Linked DNA regions of Saccharomyces cerevisiae S288C. The gene in region 1 interacts genetically with each later gene. Each region holds a gene or a part of one and is shown in the gene's direction. Other genes may lie near its edges.

Region 1 (6,962 bases):
TAGAAGTTCTGCAAAGGTGCGGTAACAAGTACCTAAAAAGTTGGTCAGAATGGTGTGAAGAGAACGCTGACGTAAGGTACCCCAACATTGACGATTATTTGTAAAGAATACACAAGATGTATAGAGTATACGTCGTTATACAGTAGGTAAAAAATGTTCGTTATATATTATATCCTCTAGTATATCAATGCAGTAGCAGCAGTCATTCATCGTACACGTAAAAATCTACTGTTTCGTCTGCGGTAACAAACATCGAATATTTAGGGTTGAATGCAATTGACCTGGGGCAGGTCTCATGAGAAACACAGGGAATGAACCCTTGCGGCCTTAATACTTTGTTACTTATTGAATCAGAATGATTCCAAATGGCAATCCTACCGTCATAATCGGTTCCAAGGACGAATTCACCATCTGGTGTGAAACAAGCAGATCCAGAATCTAGAAATTCTCTCATCGGGAAGGCCCTTGTTCCTATTAGTTCGAATAATTGTTGACCTGTGAATGCGTCAAAAATTAAATGCTTTCCTATCGAGGAGCCAACTAATAAATACTTTCCATTGTTAGAAAATTCTAATTTATTCCATTGACTGAAAGTCGCATCATTAATTTTAATTATCAAGAAAGGACCCTCCTGAATTTTTTTCAGATTATATAGCCCTATTTCGAAATTCTCTGGGTTCCCCAATGCGAATACAAGGCCACTTGGATCATATGCGATACAATTTGGTACGAGACTTGGTATAATAACTTGCGGTTTAGAGATCTTCAAATCCCAAAGCCTAACGGATTCATCGTATGACGACGATAGAAACGTATCGTTCACGGGGTTCATCTTCAAATCATTCACTAGGGCGCCATGACCGGAAAAATATCTTAGATATTGGTTTGTTTCCAGATTAAGGTATTTAATGTCAAAATTTTTCATTGTAGAGGAATAGATACATTCGTTTTGTGCGTGCGTAAAGATAGCGGAGTGACAGCCATATTTCTTAGAGGCTATAGTGTCCAAGAATTTGCAGTTCGTGGCACTGTACAATTGCATTGTATCGTTGGAAGAAGAGGTCAGTAGAAACTGGCCATTATCGTCGAAATTCAATGAGGTTACGGGTCCGCAGTCTTTTTCTTGAGGTTGAAAGCTTTTAACATGCTTGAATTTCAGCAGGTTGGGCTTATTGATGGACACGGTGGTCATTGTTGGCTATGCTAAAAGGACAAACGGTGTATTTGCTTGTGCTTTGCTCGATATTTTAGTCTTGCTTTCATTTTTTTTCTTTCTTTTTTAATGTACTAGTGCTAAACTGCATGAAGAAAAAATGGGTAAAAAAAGGTATCGAATAAATGAGTGTAGGTAACAGTTAAACAGCAAAAAGAAGGAGCAAAAGAGAGTGAAGATCAGATCGTAACATATTGCAAGATGTTGGGAATGATAAGGTGGGTAGTAGAGGGGACGTTGGTAGCTATGCTCCTATCGGCAATAAGAAGGGAGACGGGAATGATATTCTTTTACAACCAGTATCAGTTGGGCGGCTGGATACATAGATATCTGTCATGGGGAGAGATGTGCTACACAAGGACGCTGAAGATGGTTAAACGTTCTAAATTTTTCAGAAAGCAGTTGAACGAGGACGGGTTTGGACGCATCAATGATAGCGGTCCAAAACGAAGGGGAAGAGATCAATCTCAATACAGCAGTAGGTTTGTAGAACTAGATTAAACTTGCGTGCATGCACGTACACACGTAAATATATTCGTACAAATAGAGTGCTTACATATATTCAGTTCAGATTATTTATTTTGTGGTGCCACAAGTTTTTTCTAATAGGATCGTATTTGATTGCTAGCAAGCTATAGGCCTTAACAGCGTTGTCTCGGGTACAAGGGTCTGCCCCCCAGTGATATGCCAGGAATTCCAGGGCATATGAGGACTCGATCTCGGGCAAATCCTCTGGTGAGCCAATTGGAAGTGACAATACGTCACCGATGAAGGTTGTGGCGAAGTCGACTACTTTGCTATCCCACTGTAGCCTATCATGGAATAGCTCTTGGAAACCACGGAGGTAGGTCCACGGACTGATGTTCTGCGGAACCAATTGAATCTTGTCCATAATGAACTGGAGCTCGTCGGCCAATTCCACTTTTGAAATGACATCTTTAGCGTTCACCCAGTAAAACATCCTATGAGTCCATGCGCTGTTGTTATAAATGTCTGTCTCGATGAGGTCGCTGGCGTAGGCGAGCTCATGTTGAAAGTCACTGAAGAACAAACAGCACCACTTTCTGTACGACCAAACGTGATAATTCTTGGAATCATCATCAATCATCAGTTTTAAGATAGGCAGCTCTCTTTTGAAGGAAGGAGACGGATGTAGCTTCAAAAGAGACTGTCTATAGGACCAGATCTGATAGTTCTTTGGATTATTCAGCGTAACTTCATCTAGCCAGTCTAATTCCTTGTTCAGGTACAAGACAGTGTCTTCGGATTCACTCATCATGTGCCTGACGATATTGAATCGGTAGTTCCATATGGTGTAGAAGGCTGGCGCCACGTCGATAATTTCGGCTGTTAGCTGTAGTGCCCTGGGTGACAGTTCGTTAAGGCTGATCAGAGCCCTTGCGAGTCCCATCAACCGCTTATAATCCTCGGTATACATAATCCTGCACAGTTCATCCTGCAAGTCTGTCTCAATGGGCAAAGGTTTAACGTCTGAATAATCGTACTCCTCCATTTTCGATGGTGTACGTTGTATCAGCACTTGATATATAATATACCATAATTAACAGTCTTGCAGTAGGTCTGCACCAACAGTTAAGGACCAATTTAACAGAATGTCAAAAGCGAAACTTTGCTGATGTGTTTTATCACGAGGCCCAATCGAAAACCGGCGCGAGCACTGCTGCAACCTTCAAAAATGAGAGAGCGCTTCCCAGCAGGTCTCTAGTTGCATATGGATAGCGTCATGATGAATATAGGTCAGCATAGGGCTCTGGAAGGCCTGGCATTATCGGTTATTGTCGCTATTGCTGCCCTTTTCTCTGCTCGTGTAAGGTGACATTGTTGTATTCCCGCTTTTTTCGTTTCAATTTTAACGGCAAGGAGCAACCATGAAAGTAAGATGATCGCATGAACTGAAAATGTCAACGAAACTCATTCAAAATAATTATACTCTAGATATCCTCTAAACGACTAATCACAACAGTAGTACACCACTGAAAATGATGAGTGGCACAGGAAACGTTTCCTCGATGCTCCACAGCTATAGCGCCAACATACAGCACAACGATGGCTCTCCGGACTTGGATTTACTAGAATCAGAATTACTGGATATTGCTCTGCTCAACTCTGGGTCCTCTCTGCAAGACCCTGGTTTATTGAGTCTGAACCAAGAGAAAATGATAACAGCAGGTACTACTACACCAGGTAAGGAAGATGAAGGGGAGCTCAGGGATGACATCGCATCTTTGCAAGGATTGCTTGATCGACACGTTCAATTTGGCAGAAAGCTACCTCTGAGGACGCCATACGCGAATCCACTGGATTTTATCAACATTAACCCGCAGTCCCTTCCATTGTCTCTAGAAATTATTGGGTTGCCGAAGGTTTCTAGGGTGGAAACTCAGATGAAGCTGAGTTTTCGGATTAGAAACGCACATGCAAGAAAAAACTTCTTTATTCATCTGCCCTCTGATTGTATAGCGAAGGACAAGTTTTTCACCAGCTCGGACGATCCCACCAACTTGACAATACCCAATAGGGACATCAACGAAAGGACTCTTTTCTTGGACGCCTTTCTTTTGTGTGCATCTAACAACAATAGCAACAACTTCAAGCAGACCTATGTTTGTAATAGATGTATCAACAGGGAAAAAAGAAGAGCGTCGAGAAGAAAGTCTGGGTTGAACGACAACTCCATCTGGCAAAATAACGAAAACAAAAGAGCAATCATATTCAATAGTAAACAACTTTTCATCATTAGTAATAACGGTTTGAGTGGTAACTCTAACTGTATCAATTTCGACTTACCGACGAGAATCGTCTGTTACTGCAGACACCACAAGGCAACTAACGGGTTTGTAGTTTTGTTCCTTCTAAGGGACCATAACGGCGATATCTTGGCGAAAACTATAACAGATCCCATAATGATCATGGACAAGAAAAATGCCAGCAATACCACAACTCCAACCAGCACCAGCAATGCCCAGGTTTCGCCAATGACAAATGACACTAGATCCTTTTCATCGCCGCAAAGTGACTTAAACTTCCCATCCGAATTCCCCCTGCCTTCTAACAGTAAAAATTTTGTCATTTCTACGAACTGTATGCTTGATAGCAATTGTAATAACAACAACAATGATAATGATAACAAAAACAACATTAAGACTAATACCGCAATGATGAACAACAACAGACACTTTCCATCACCAAATTCCTCCAGTGAGGACAGCAACCATTCTTTTTCAGATATTCATTTTTCTAATAACAACGACAACAATTTACATCGTTCACTAGACTCTTGGTCGTCCACAGGTTTTAATAGTTCATCTAATCCCGCTCTTACTACATTAACTAGTGATTTCAGTGCGGCCTCTGCGAGACACACTGGCAAGAGGCAGCGTTCGGTAAACGAGCCTTTTATGTCTACGCCTAATACGTTTTCCCGTCTTCCCCAGAAATTCATCGATTCTTCCAAAGATATATCGAACCATAATAGTGTCCCCGTGGCGCTAAATAACAAGCCTTCTATTCAGCGTGTCATCCCCGCACAAGGTTCCATCAACGGAGGTATAGAAGTGACTCTACTTGGCTCAAAGTTTAAGCAGGGCTTAATCATCAAGTTTGGCGAAAATATAGCATTGTCCAGCCAATGCTGGAATGAATCTACGATGGTGACTTATTTACCGCCTTCATCTAAACCTGGACCGGTTTTGGTAACCATAGTCGACCCAAGTGAAACGTCTATGAGAAATAATAGCAATAGTAGTGTTTCCACCAGCAATAGTACCAATGACATTCTGCACTTAAACAAGTATACCGGTGAGAAAGCAATCTTTACTTATGTTGATGATACTGATAGGCAACTAATTGAATTGGCTCTGCAAATTGTGGGGCTGAAAATGAACGGTAAACTGGAAGATGCAAGAAATATTGCTAAAAGGATTGTTGGCAGTGATTCATCTCCATCTAATAATAACGCAGGATTACACTCACAGAATAGCTCTTTAAATTCGTACACGAATATGATGCGAAATATAAACGATGAACAATTGATCACTGAAGTTATTAAGTCATTTAAGAGAAATAATAATCTCTCTACCGTCAATCTTTCCATGTGTGACGTTAGGGGTAGAACTCTATTACATCTGGCAGCATTCAATAACTGGTATAGTCTTGTCTCATTACTAATCAAATATGGGTCGCATTTGAACGACCAAGATTTATTTGGTTTTACTCCGCTACATATGGCGTGTATTAATGGTGACTTGAGAATTATAAGACTATTGTTAGAATGCAACGTTAATATTATGAAGAAAACCAGAAACGGCTTTATCGCTAAACAGTTCTTCCTGATGAATTATACTGTCAACAAGACCAGATATTCTAATTATGAAACCAGTCTGTTTGACGACATTCTGACTAGATTAACGAAGAATACAACAGGATCCAGTGATACTCAACCGTTTGAGAGAAATGTATCCCAGTCAAGTTTCAACTCAAGTTTATTTGATGATGACGATGCTGATCATGACTATGTCCAAGAAAGAAAATATTTATTGGCGGATTCCGCTGCCCTTGCCCCCGAACAATCCAACTGTAATGACAATACGTCATTCTCAATCCTAGATTCGGATTCAGGTTATGACATAAGTGATTGTGAATCATCTTCAGATGAGATTGCTTTGGAGTTCTTTAACACCCACAAAATCAAGGACTTCTCTTCAAAGCCAAATGAAATACCAAAAACTACTAAGACTAGCATAGAGCCTGACGGATCTTTATGGAACAGAATGCTAACTCGTTTAAATGACGAGCTCCCAAAGTATGAAGACTTGTTCCCAAAAAAACCCAAAAACTGGGAACTTGGTAGCAAATCTGTGGAGATTGGGCCAGATAATTCTGCCCAAATGACCGTGGATGATTCTCAAACTTCTTCTGAAGACGATGAATTAGAAGCTTTACAGGTCGGGTTCAACACAATCTTTTCCAAGAAGCAAAACTTTCAGAATGATAAGATGCTCCTATTCTTTTGGATCCCCTTAACTTTAGTACTCTTATTATGTTTCACATTATCGAATTTGGGGAAAGATGATGATATGTTTCATAATTTATCCAAAATTGTTCAGGAATATTTAAGAATTGGTTTAGCCAAGGTACTACTAGGCAACGAAAGGATGAAAACCTCTTTTAAAATGCAGTTATCGAAGTTTCAAAACAATAACATTCTAAACGACATGCGAGTCAATTAAAGACATTTTTCTAGCTACATAATCCTTACACTATATAGATTCATTTTTTATTATTTTGCATTTTTGAATTTTATCTTCTTTATGTTACTGAATACTACTTATACTGTCTTCATTTTTTTTTTGCTTAGAATTATAAAGTTCAAGATCAAGGCCGAAAATTTTTTAGAACATGAAAAATTGAAAACTCATGGTACCTCATCTCGAAAAGATCCTAAGGGCCAAGTCAAGAATTCGTGTAGAAAAATGAGTGCTATAGGCGACAAGAACCAATTTCGTATCATTGTGGGCTCATACGAGCACAACATTTTGTGTTTATCCTTAGATATCCCAAATCAAAAGGAAAATGATGCAGCAAAGACACCACATTTTATGCCAATATTTCATTTTCAAGCCCATTCGTTGAGTATTAAATGTTTGGCTGTTTCAAGAAGATACCTAGTTTCTGGATCCAATGACGAGCACATCAGAATTTATGATTTGCAAAAGAGGAAGGAACTGGG
Region 2 (3,853 bases), on another chromosome or scaffold:
GTCAGCATAAACACCTCCATGAACTAACAGTATTAAGTATTTGAAAAAATCTATCTTTAGGATGATGGAGGGCAGAGCTTCGTAAGTCTCTAGGATTTCCGGTATGGAGTAGAAGTAGTGGTGTACTAGTGCGTTTATCACGTCATGGTTCAACACTTCGTGCGCAAAGCCCGGATTCTTGCTTTCCCACATGCCCTTTATATCTTGAACACGCTCGGGACCTTCATCATTGGACCAAGTTTGCCAAATAAATGCTGGGAACTTGACATGGGAATCGTAGGGGAAAGTCATAGCTATGCGTTCTCTTAGGGTGGCCTCCGGAGGTGTTTGTTTCAAGTCTTGGATTTTTTTTTCCAGGATCTTACGTTGTTTATCAAATTGCTTTGCTTGAACTTCCTGTTGGTGTCTGATCTCCTGAGCCAAACTCTCAAAATGTTGAACTAGATCAGAATCCGAACTCTGAATATTGTTGGCACTATTAATGCTTTGGGAAATCTCTTTGGGCAAGTTCTGCAGAATTTTTTGTAAATCAGTAGCATTAGAATTGTGAAATAGGTATCTAACTCCAAATGCTAATGAGATGAGGGCTATTATGGCGAATATCATCAACCTCCTGAAACTGGAGGCTCTTTTTGTTGTTTTGGCCATCGTTAACCGCTACAGTCTATATATCTATCTGCTGTCTTCCGAGTAGAGTGCCTCTTCTCTGCAAGAATACGTGCAAAATGGAAAGAGAGGAATGTTCATTATGGTCACTGTTATTTTTTCACTTTCTTCGCTGCTGGGAAATTTCGTTATACTTATCGGAAAAAACATGTAATACGCTATATAGTAGAAATAAAAAGGTAATATAAACATAAGGTTAAAATTTGAAAGATTAAGCAAACAGCGACGTGTCCACAACGTGAAACTTCCGTACCATTTCTTGCAACAATTGGTAAACAGCATGACATCTTGCAGGCAACTCTTTGTTGCTTGCTTGCGACGCCTCCTCCTTTGTCAAAGGTACATTAATGGAGATGACCACATCCGTGTCAAACTGGGTTAATCTGATCAACGCTACGCCGATGACAACGGTCTGTGCCAGATCTGGTTTTCCCCACTTATTTGCTACTTCCATAACGAGTCCGGTGAACTTGGTTCCTTGCTGAACAGTGTCTTCTTGTAAAGCTTCCCATTTGGTGGTCCCGTTCAACTCCGTCAGGTCTTCCACGTGGAACTGCCAAGCCTCCTTCAGATCGCTCTTGTCGACCGTCTCCAAGAGATCCACGATAATGCTTTCATTGGTGGCTAGTCCATCTTCGAATTCTTCTTCATCGCGACGGGAATTGACGTACACCTCCTGTGTATCGGGGACTTCTCTTAGAGTAGAAGCGTCTATAAACCCAGGTGGGACGACAGTAGTGATGGCGCCGCCGTATAATTCGACTTCCTTGTTGTTCATGCTTCCTTGATGACCAGGGTAGGTGTCAATGAGAGTGCATGTGGAAAGTTGCACCGGTTGTGAAATATGAGAAGCCTTTTCAATCTTCATATGCAAACCCACACATGCATCGTTGGTTTCTGTCCACTGCCACTGCAATGACCACTGGATAAGGGGTCTTTATAAGAGAACACATATGAAGAACATGAACGTTCTTGGACAGAGCCATAAACAGCAATTGAAGACAACAAGAATAGCGCAAGTCAAGCGATGAAGGAGTCAGTCCAAGAGATCATCCAGCAACTCATCCACAGTGTCGATTTACAGTCTTCCAAGTTCCAGCTGGCCATTGTGTGCACGATGTTCAATCCTATCTTTTGGAACATCGTTGCAAGAATGGAATACCACAAGCATTCTCTCACCAAGATGTGTGGTGGGGCCAGAAAGGGCTGTTACATGTTGGCGGCGACCATATTTTCGCTAGGTATCGTCAGAGACATGGTGTACGAGTCTGCATTGCGTGAACAGCCTACGTGTTCTCTGATCACGGGCGAGAACTGGACCAAGCTGGGTGTGGCTCTCTTTGGTTTGGGGCAAGTGCTTGTTTTGAGTTCCATGTACAAGCTGGGTATCACAGGGACGTACTTGGGTGACTATTTCGGCATCCTGATGGATGAGAGAGTCACCGGCTTCCCCTTCAACGTTTCCAACAACCCCATGTACCAGGGTTCCACTTTGTCCTTCTTGGGCATAGCCCTTTACAAAGGAAAGCCTGCGGGGCTGGTTGTTTCTGCCGTAGTTTACTTCATGTACAAGATCGCTCTTCGTTGGGAAGAACCTTTTACTGCCATGATCTACGCTAACCGTGATAAGGCCAAAAAGAATATGTAAGTGCTCTATTTCTATATATTCTATAATGTTAGAAGCCTATGCTATTACCGTTTCTATATAGCTCCATAAGCAATTTCTTCGCGAAAGTGAAAAAAAAAAATTTTAATGCGATGCTCTATTTAACAAGGAATACAATGAGAGCATCTAGCGCACACAAACAACTACAAAACGCAATAACGACACAGCAAGAATGAGTCTCAGCACAATCATATGTATTGGTATGGCCGGATCCGGTAAAACAACTTTCATGCAAAGGTTAAACTCCCACTTGCGGGCAGAGAAAACGCCACCATACGTAATCAATCTTGATCCTGCAGTATTGAGAGTCCCCTATGGTGCAAACATCGATATCAGAGACTCAATCAAATACAAGAAAGTGATGGAGAATTACCAGCTAGGTCCGAACGGTGCCATTGTCACCAGTTTGAATTTGTTCAGCACCAAGATTGATCAAGTTATTAGGTTGGTGGAACAGAAGAAGGACAAGTTCCAAAACTGCATCATCGACACTCCAGGCCAAATCGAATGTTTTGTGTGGAGTGCGTCGGGTGCCATTATCACGGAATCTTTTGCCTCCAGCTTTCCCACAGTGATTGCATATATCGTGGATACGCCTAGAAACTCATCCCCAACTACATTCATGAGTAACATGCTGTACGCCTGCTCCATTCTGTATAAGACCAAACTTCCCATGATTGTCGTTTTCAACAAGACCGACGTGTGCAAGGCAGATTTTGCTAAGGAATGGATGACGGATTTTGAGAGTTTCCAAGCAGCAATCAAGGAAGATCAAGACTTGAATGGTGACAATGGGCTGGGCTCCGGGTACATGAGCTCATTGGTCAATTCTATGTCACTGATGCTTGAAGAATTCTATTCCCAGCTAGACGTCGTGGGCGTTTCCAGTTTTACCGGAGACGGATTCGACGAATTTATGCAATGCGTAGACAAGAAAGTTGATGAATACGACCAATACTATAAGCAAGAACGTGAAAAAGCATTGAACCTAAAAAAGAAAAAGGAAGAGATGAGAAAGCAAAAATCATTGAATGGCCTGATGAAGGATCTAGGGTTAAACGAGAAGAGCAGCGCTGCAGCCAGCGACAACGACAGCATAGATGCCATTAGCGACCTCGAAGAGGATGCCAATGATGGTCTTGTGGATAGGGATGAGGACGAAGGCGTTGAGAGAGAATACACGTTCCCAGGCGAAGAAAGAACAAAAGGTGAGGTCAACGAGAACTCTGCTCCAGACCTACAAAGGAGATATCAGGAAGCTATGCAACAAGTAGGGAAAACGGCCAGTAGCGAGACTGCAGAAAATATCGCGAAGTATATTAGAAACTAAATAACTACGTATAGTCCTTTGGTTCGGCGATCATTCGACCCGCAGAGAAAAAAAAAGACAATGGAATTGCAAAGACGAACGTCAGATAAACTCCCACGTTTATTATCTTTTGAACAATAGAGGTAATCCTTCCACAGAAATCCCTGTAGAATGCAGTGAGAAACAAGAAAAAAAAAAAATTTTTTTTTTTT
Region 3 (3,999 bases), on another chromosome or scaffold:
ATCTTTGAATTTTTATCTCTTTCAGGTAACCCCATGACCAGTAGGGCGGCTTACTACCGAAGAGAAAAATGTCCGCGGCCTAGACAGTTACTTCCCAGGCCAGGGCCAGGCCACACGGACAGAGGCAGATTCCAAGTTGTTCCGCATAGTCTGTCTAGCTCTTTCTCAATTTTCCGCCAGATTCTGTCTAATTTCTTTCCGCTCGAGTTGGCAACAGTACGAAGAAGTAACTCTAATAGATAGATATAACCGTTTTTGAGGGCATTATTTTTGCAGAAGATAATAGAAGAGAACCGTAACAAAGGAATCAAGCAAAGAAAAAGTATGTAATAGAATGTATTGTATGCTTGTGGAATGAATGTCAATGTAGCTATTTTATATGGTGAGCTCAAATTGAATGAACATATCGTGGAAATTTAAAATACTGAAGAATACCCAATAAGTCAATGCAACCTGTGAATGTTTTTCCTGAAATACGCCGAATACTGAATACGATTATTACCATAAATTGCTTCTAGAAGGAAGGCGGTGTACCATTTAATACTGATGATATGGTTAATATCATTTGAGAAGTCTTCACATGAGGACTATAGAACTACCATCCAGGAATTATAGAGGAAATTAACTGAATCAGAGATCTATTTTGAAACATTCATTTACATGTAATTGTCTGCAATAAAGCAATATTTTTGAAATATGCAAGTTTACTAACAAGAATAAATTCTTTTTTGATTTTTATCTTTAACAGTGGCTCATTTCAAAGAATACCAAGTCATTGGTCGTCGTTTACCAACTGAATCCGTTCCAGAACCAAAGTTGTTCAGAATGAGAATTTTTGCTTCAAATGAAGTCATCGCCAAGTCTCGTTACTGGTATTTCTTGCAAAAATTGCACAAGGTTAAGAAGGCTTCTGGTGAAATTGTTTCCATCAACCAAATCAACGAAGCTCACCCAACCAAGGTCAAGAACTTCGGTGTTTGGGTTAGATACGATTCCAGATCTGGTACTCACAACATGTACAAGGAAATCAGAGACGTATCCAGAGTTGCTGCCGTCGAAACCTTATACCAAGACATGGCTGCTAGACACAGAGCTAGATTTAGATCTATTCACATCTTGAAGGTTGCTGAAATTGAAAAGACTGCTGATGTCAAGAGACAATACGTCAAGCAATTCTTGACCAAGGATTTAAAATTCCCATTACCTCACAGAGTCCAAAAATCTACCAAGACTTTCTCTTACAAGAGACCATCAACCTTCTACTAAGCCAACAAGATATTTCTACGTTTTTTAGTATAATAAAATTTTGTATAATTCATTTTGTAGATTCAAGGAAATTTTAAAATATATCCTGTTTCTTCTCTTACATTATGCACTACCAGCGTGAAAGCACAATGTCATGCCATGTATCTTTACAAAATCCAGGGTCCATAGCGGGTAACAAATTATTGGTTTTTCTGCGATAAATATAAAACGTAGCGTAATTATAAAAATCCTGAGCGGTGTTGTCGTAGAGCAGTTGAACATTACGTAAACAGATATCTACGCATTTCTGTCATTTGGATTCATACAGGGTTTACAGACAATATGGGGACCGAAGATGCCATTGCCCTTCCAAATAGCACGCTAGAGCCGCGTACCGAAGCTAAGCAAAGACTATCATCTAAGAGTCATCAAGTCTCGGCGAAAGTAACGATTCCAGCAAAAGAAGAAATTAGTAGTAGCGATGACGATGCACACGTTCCAGTGACAGAAATACATTTGAAATCTCATGAATGGTTCGGCGATTTTATAACTAAACATGAAATTCCCCGTAAGGTGTTCCATTCTTCCATTGGCTTTATTACTTTGTACCTGTATACGCAGGGTATTAATTATAAAAATGTTTTATGGCCTTTGATATACGCCTTCATCATATTGTTTATTTTGGATCTGATAAGACTAAACTGGCCCTTTTTCAATATGCTTTACTGTAGAACTGTGGGTGCGCTAATGAGAAAAAAGGAGATTCATACATACAATGGGGTATTGTGGTACATTCTTGGGTTAATCTTTTCTTTTAACTTTTTCTCTAAAGATGTTACCTTAATATCGTTATTTTTGCTAAGTTGGTCCGATACAGCCGCCGCAACTATTGGAAGAAAGTATGGTCATTTAACACCCAAAGTGGCAAGAAATAAATCCCTTGCAGGTTCGATAGCTGCGTTTACAGTTGGTGTTATCACCTGCTGGGTATTTTATGGCTATTTTGTTCCTGCCTACAGCTACGTCAACAAACCTGGCGAGATCCAATGGAGCCCAGAAACAAGCAGATTAAGTTTGAATATGCTATCCTTGTTAGGTGGTGTGGTAGCTGCTTTGAGTGAAGGTATAGATTTGTTCAACTGGGATGATAATTTCACTATTCCTGTCCTGTCATCACTTTTTATGAACGCAGTAATCAAAACATTCAAGAAATAAAAGCATATATACCAAAAACAGGAGTGTTTTATATTCTTCGGTAAGTCTTTTTTACAGTAACTGGAGTGCGCGATTCAGTTTATCTGTGGTTAACGATCCAGCACCTCTTCGATCTTTGGCATCCACAAATTATTTTTCTAAATATCCTACATATCCGAGTATAGAGTTAGAACCTGTGTAAATTATTCAGCAGTATTTCCGTATTTTTCACGCCATTAGAAACATTCGACACAAGCAGTTTTATGAAAACATTTATGTTACTAATATATGTGCCAACAAGCGCATCCAAATGGGGCGCAACATTATTATTTAATCGTAAACCTACACCATATTTTCATCAGTAAAAAAAGGCTTTTTCATGCCCCAACTTTGTCACAAAGCAATCATATCAGAGAACAATAAAAAAGAACAATCCTGCGAAATACGATTACCAAGATCCTGAACCAGCGTTCATTTATCTTGGCATCTCAAGGATATATGGTTTATCTGCGATTACCGCCCAGTGGCCTTATTGATATTGATATCATTGTGTACGTTAGAACAGAAAAAAAGAAATTTGGAAAATTTTTCAACCTCATCGAAAATTTTCAGAAAAGCAAGAATTATTTATGCTTTCGCAAAAATTTCGCATATAAGTTATTTTTGAAATAGCAGTCGATACCAAATTAGCTGTAGAACCTCAACCTCCTCATACAATGGCTTACGTTTTAACTGAAACTTCAGCTGGTTATGCTCTTTTAAAAGCTTCCGATAAGAAAATCTACAAATCTTCAAGCTTAATTCAAGACTTGGATAGCTCTGACAAAGTCTTGAAGGAATTCAAGATCGCCGCCTTTTCCAAGTTCAACTCTGCAGCTAACGCTTTAGAGGAAGCCAACTCCATTATTGAAGGTAAAGTTTCTTCCCAATTAGAAAAACTTCTGGAAGAAATTAAAAAGGACAAGAAGTCGACCTTGATTGTTAGTGAAACTAAACTGGCAAACGCTATTAATAAGTTGGGATTGAACTTCAATGTTGTTTCCGATGCTGTAACCTTAGATATCTATAGAGCTATCAAAGAATATTTGCCAGAATTGCTGCCAGGTATGTCTGATAATGATCTAAGCAAGATGTCTTTGGGTTTAGCTCATTCCATCGGTCGTCACAAATTAAAATTTTCTGCTGACAAAGTTGATGTTATGATTATTCAAGCAATTGCTTTATTGGATGATTTAGATAAAGAATTAAACACATATGCCATGAGATGTAAAGAATGGTACGGGTGGCACTTTCCTGAGTTAGCTAAGATTGTTACTGATTCCGTCGCTTATGCGAGAATTATTCTAACAATGGGTATCAGATCCAAGGCTTCTGAAACAGATTTGAGTGAAATCTTACCAGAAGAGATTGAAGAACGTGTCAAAACCGCTGCTGAAGTGTCTATGGGTACTGAAATCACTCAAACCGATCTAGACAACATTAATGCTTTAGCTGAACAAATAGTCGAATTTGCCGCTTACAGAGAACAGTTGTCCAATTACTTGTCTGCAAGAATGAAGG

The links.
Region 2: mutations in SPT23 (region 1) and OPI3 together harm fitness more than expected from each alone (negative genetic interaction), as found in Saccharomyces cerevisiae (5 studies listed by BioGRID).
Region 3: mutations in SPT23 (region 1) and DGK1 together harm fitness more than expected from each alone (negative genetic interaction), as found in Saccharomyces cerevisiae (5 studies listed by BioGRID).

The regions. Positions count from the first base shown.
Region 1 is NC_001143.9:398,332-405,293, reverse strand, and holds SPT23 (Spt23p), read left to right. Parts: upstream 1-3,213; coding exon 3,214-6,462; downstream 6,463-6,962. Other genes in the region: ATP-dependent 5'-3' DNA helicase HCS1, read left to right, coding at 1-104; WD-repeat containing protein SWD2, read right to left, coding at 203-1,192; MCO12 (Mco12p), read left to right, coding at 1,415-1,714; RAM2 (bifunctional protein farnesyltransferase/protein geranylgeranyltransferase), read right to left, coding at 1,776-2,726; MAK11 (Mak11p), read left to right, coding at 6,544-6,962. UniProt on the Saccharomyces cerevisiae protein: Dosage-dependent suppressor of Ty-induced promoter mutations. May exert its suppression effect through protein-protein interactions since does not present any of the motifs generally found in transcriptional activators or DNA binding proteins.
Region 2 is NC_001142.9:570,776-574,628, reverse strand, and holds OPI3 (bifunctional phosphatidyl-N-methylethanolamine N-methyltransferase/phosphatidyl-N-dimethylethanolamine N-methyltransferase), read left to right. Parts: upstream 1-1,693; coding exon 1,694-2,314; downstream 2,315-3,853. Other genes in the region: HOC1 (alpha-1,6-mannosyltransferase), read right to left, coding at 1-648; Ran GTPase-binding protein MOG1, read right to left, coding at 878-1,534; GTPase NPA3, read left to right, coding at 2,505-3,662. UniProt on the Saccharomyces cerevisiae protein: Catalyzes the second two steps of the methylation pathway of phosphatidylcholine biosynthesis, the SAM-dependent methylation of phosphatidylmonomethylethanolamine (PMME) to phosphatidyldimethylethanolamine (PDME) and of PDME to phosphatidylcholine (PC).
Region 3 is NC_001147.6:897,517-901,515, reverse strand, and holds DGK1 (diacylglycerol kinase), read left to right. Parts: upstream 1-1,587; coding exon 1,588-2,460; downstream 2,461-3,999. Other genes in the region: 60S ribosomal protein eL20 RPL20B, read left to right, coding at 322-322, 749-1,266; RNA-processing protein NOP58, read left to right, coding at 3,156-3,999. UniProt on the Saccharomyces cerevisiae protein: CTP-dependent diacylglycerol kinase that catalyzes the phosphorylation of diacylglycerol (DAG) to phosphatidate (PA). Controls phosphatidate levels at the nuclear envelope.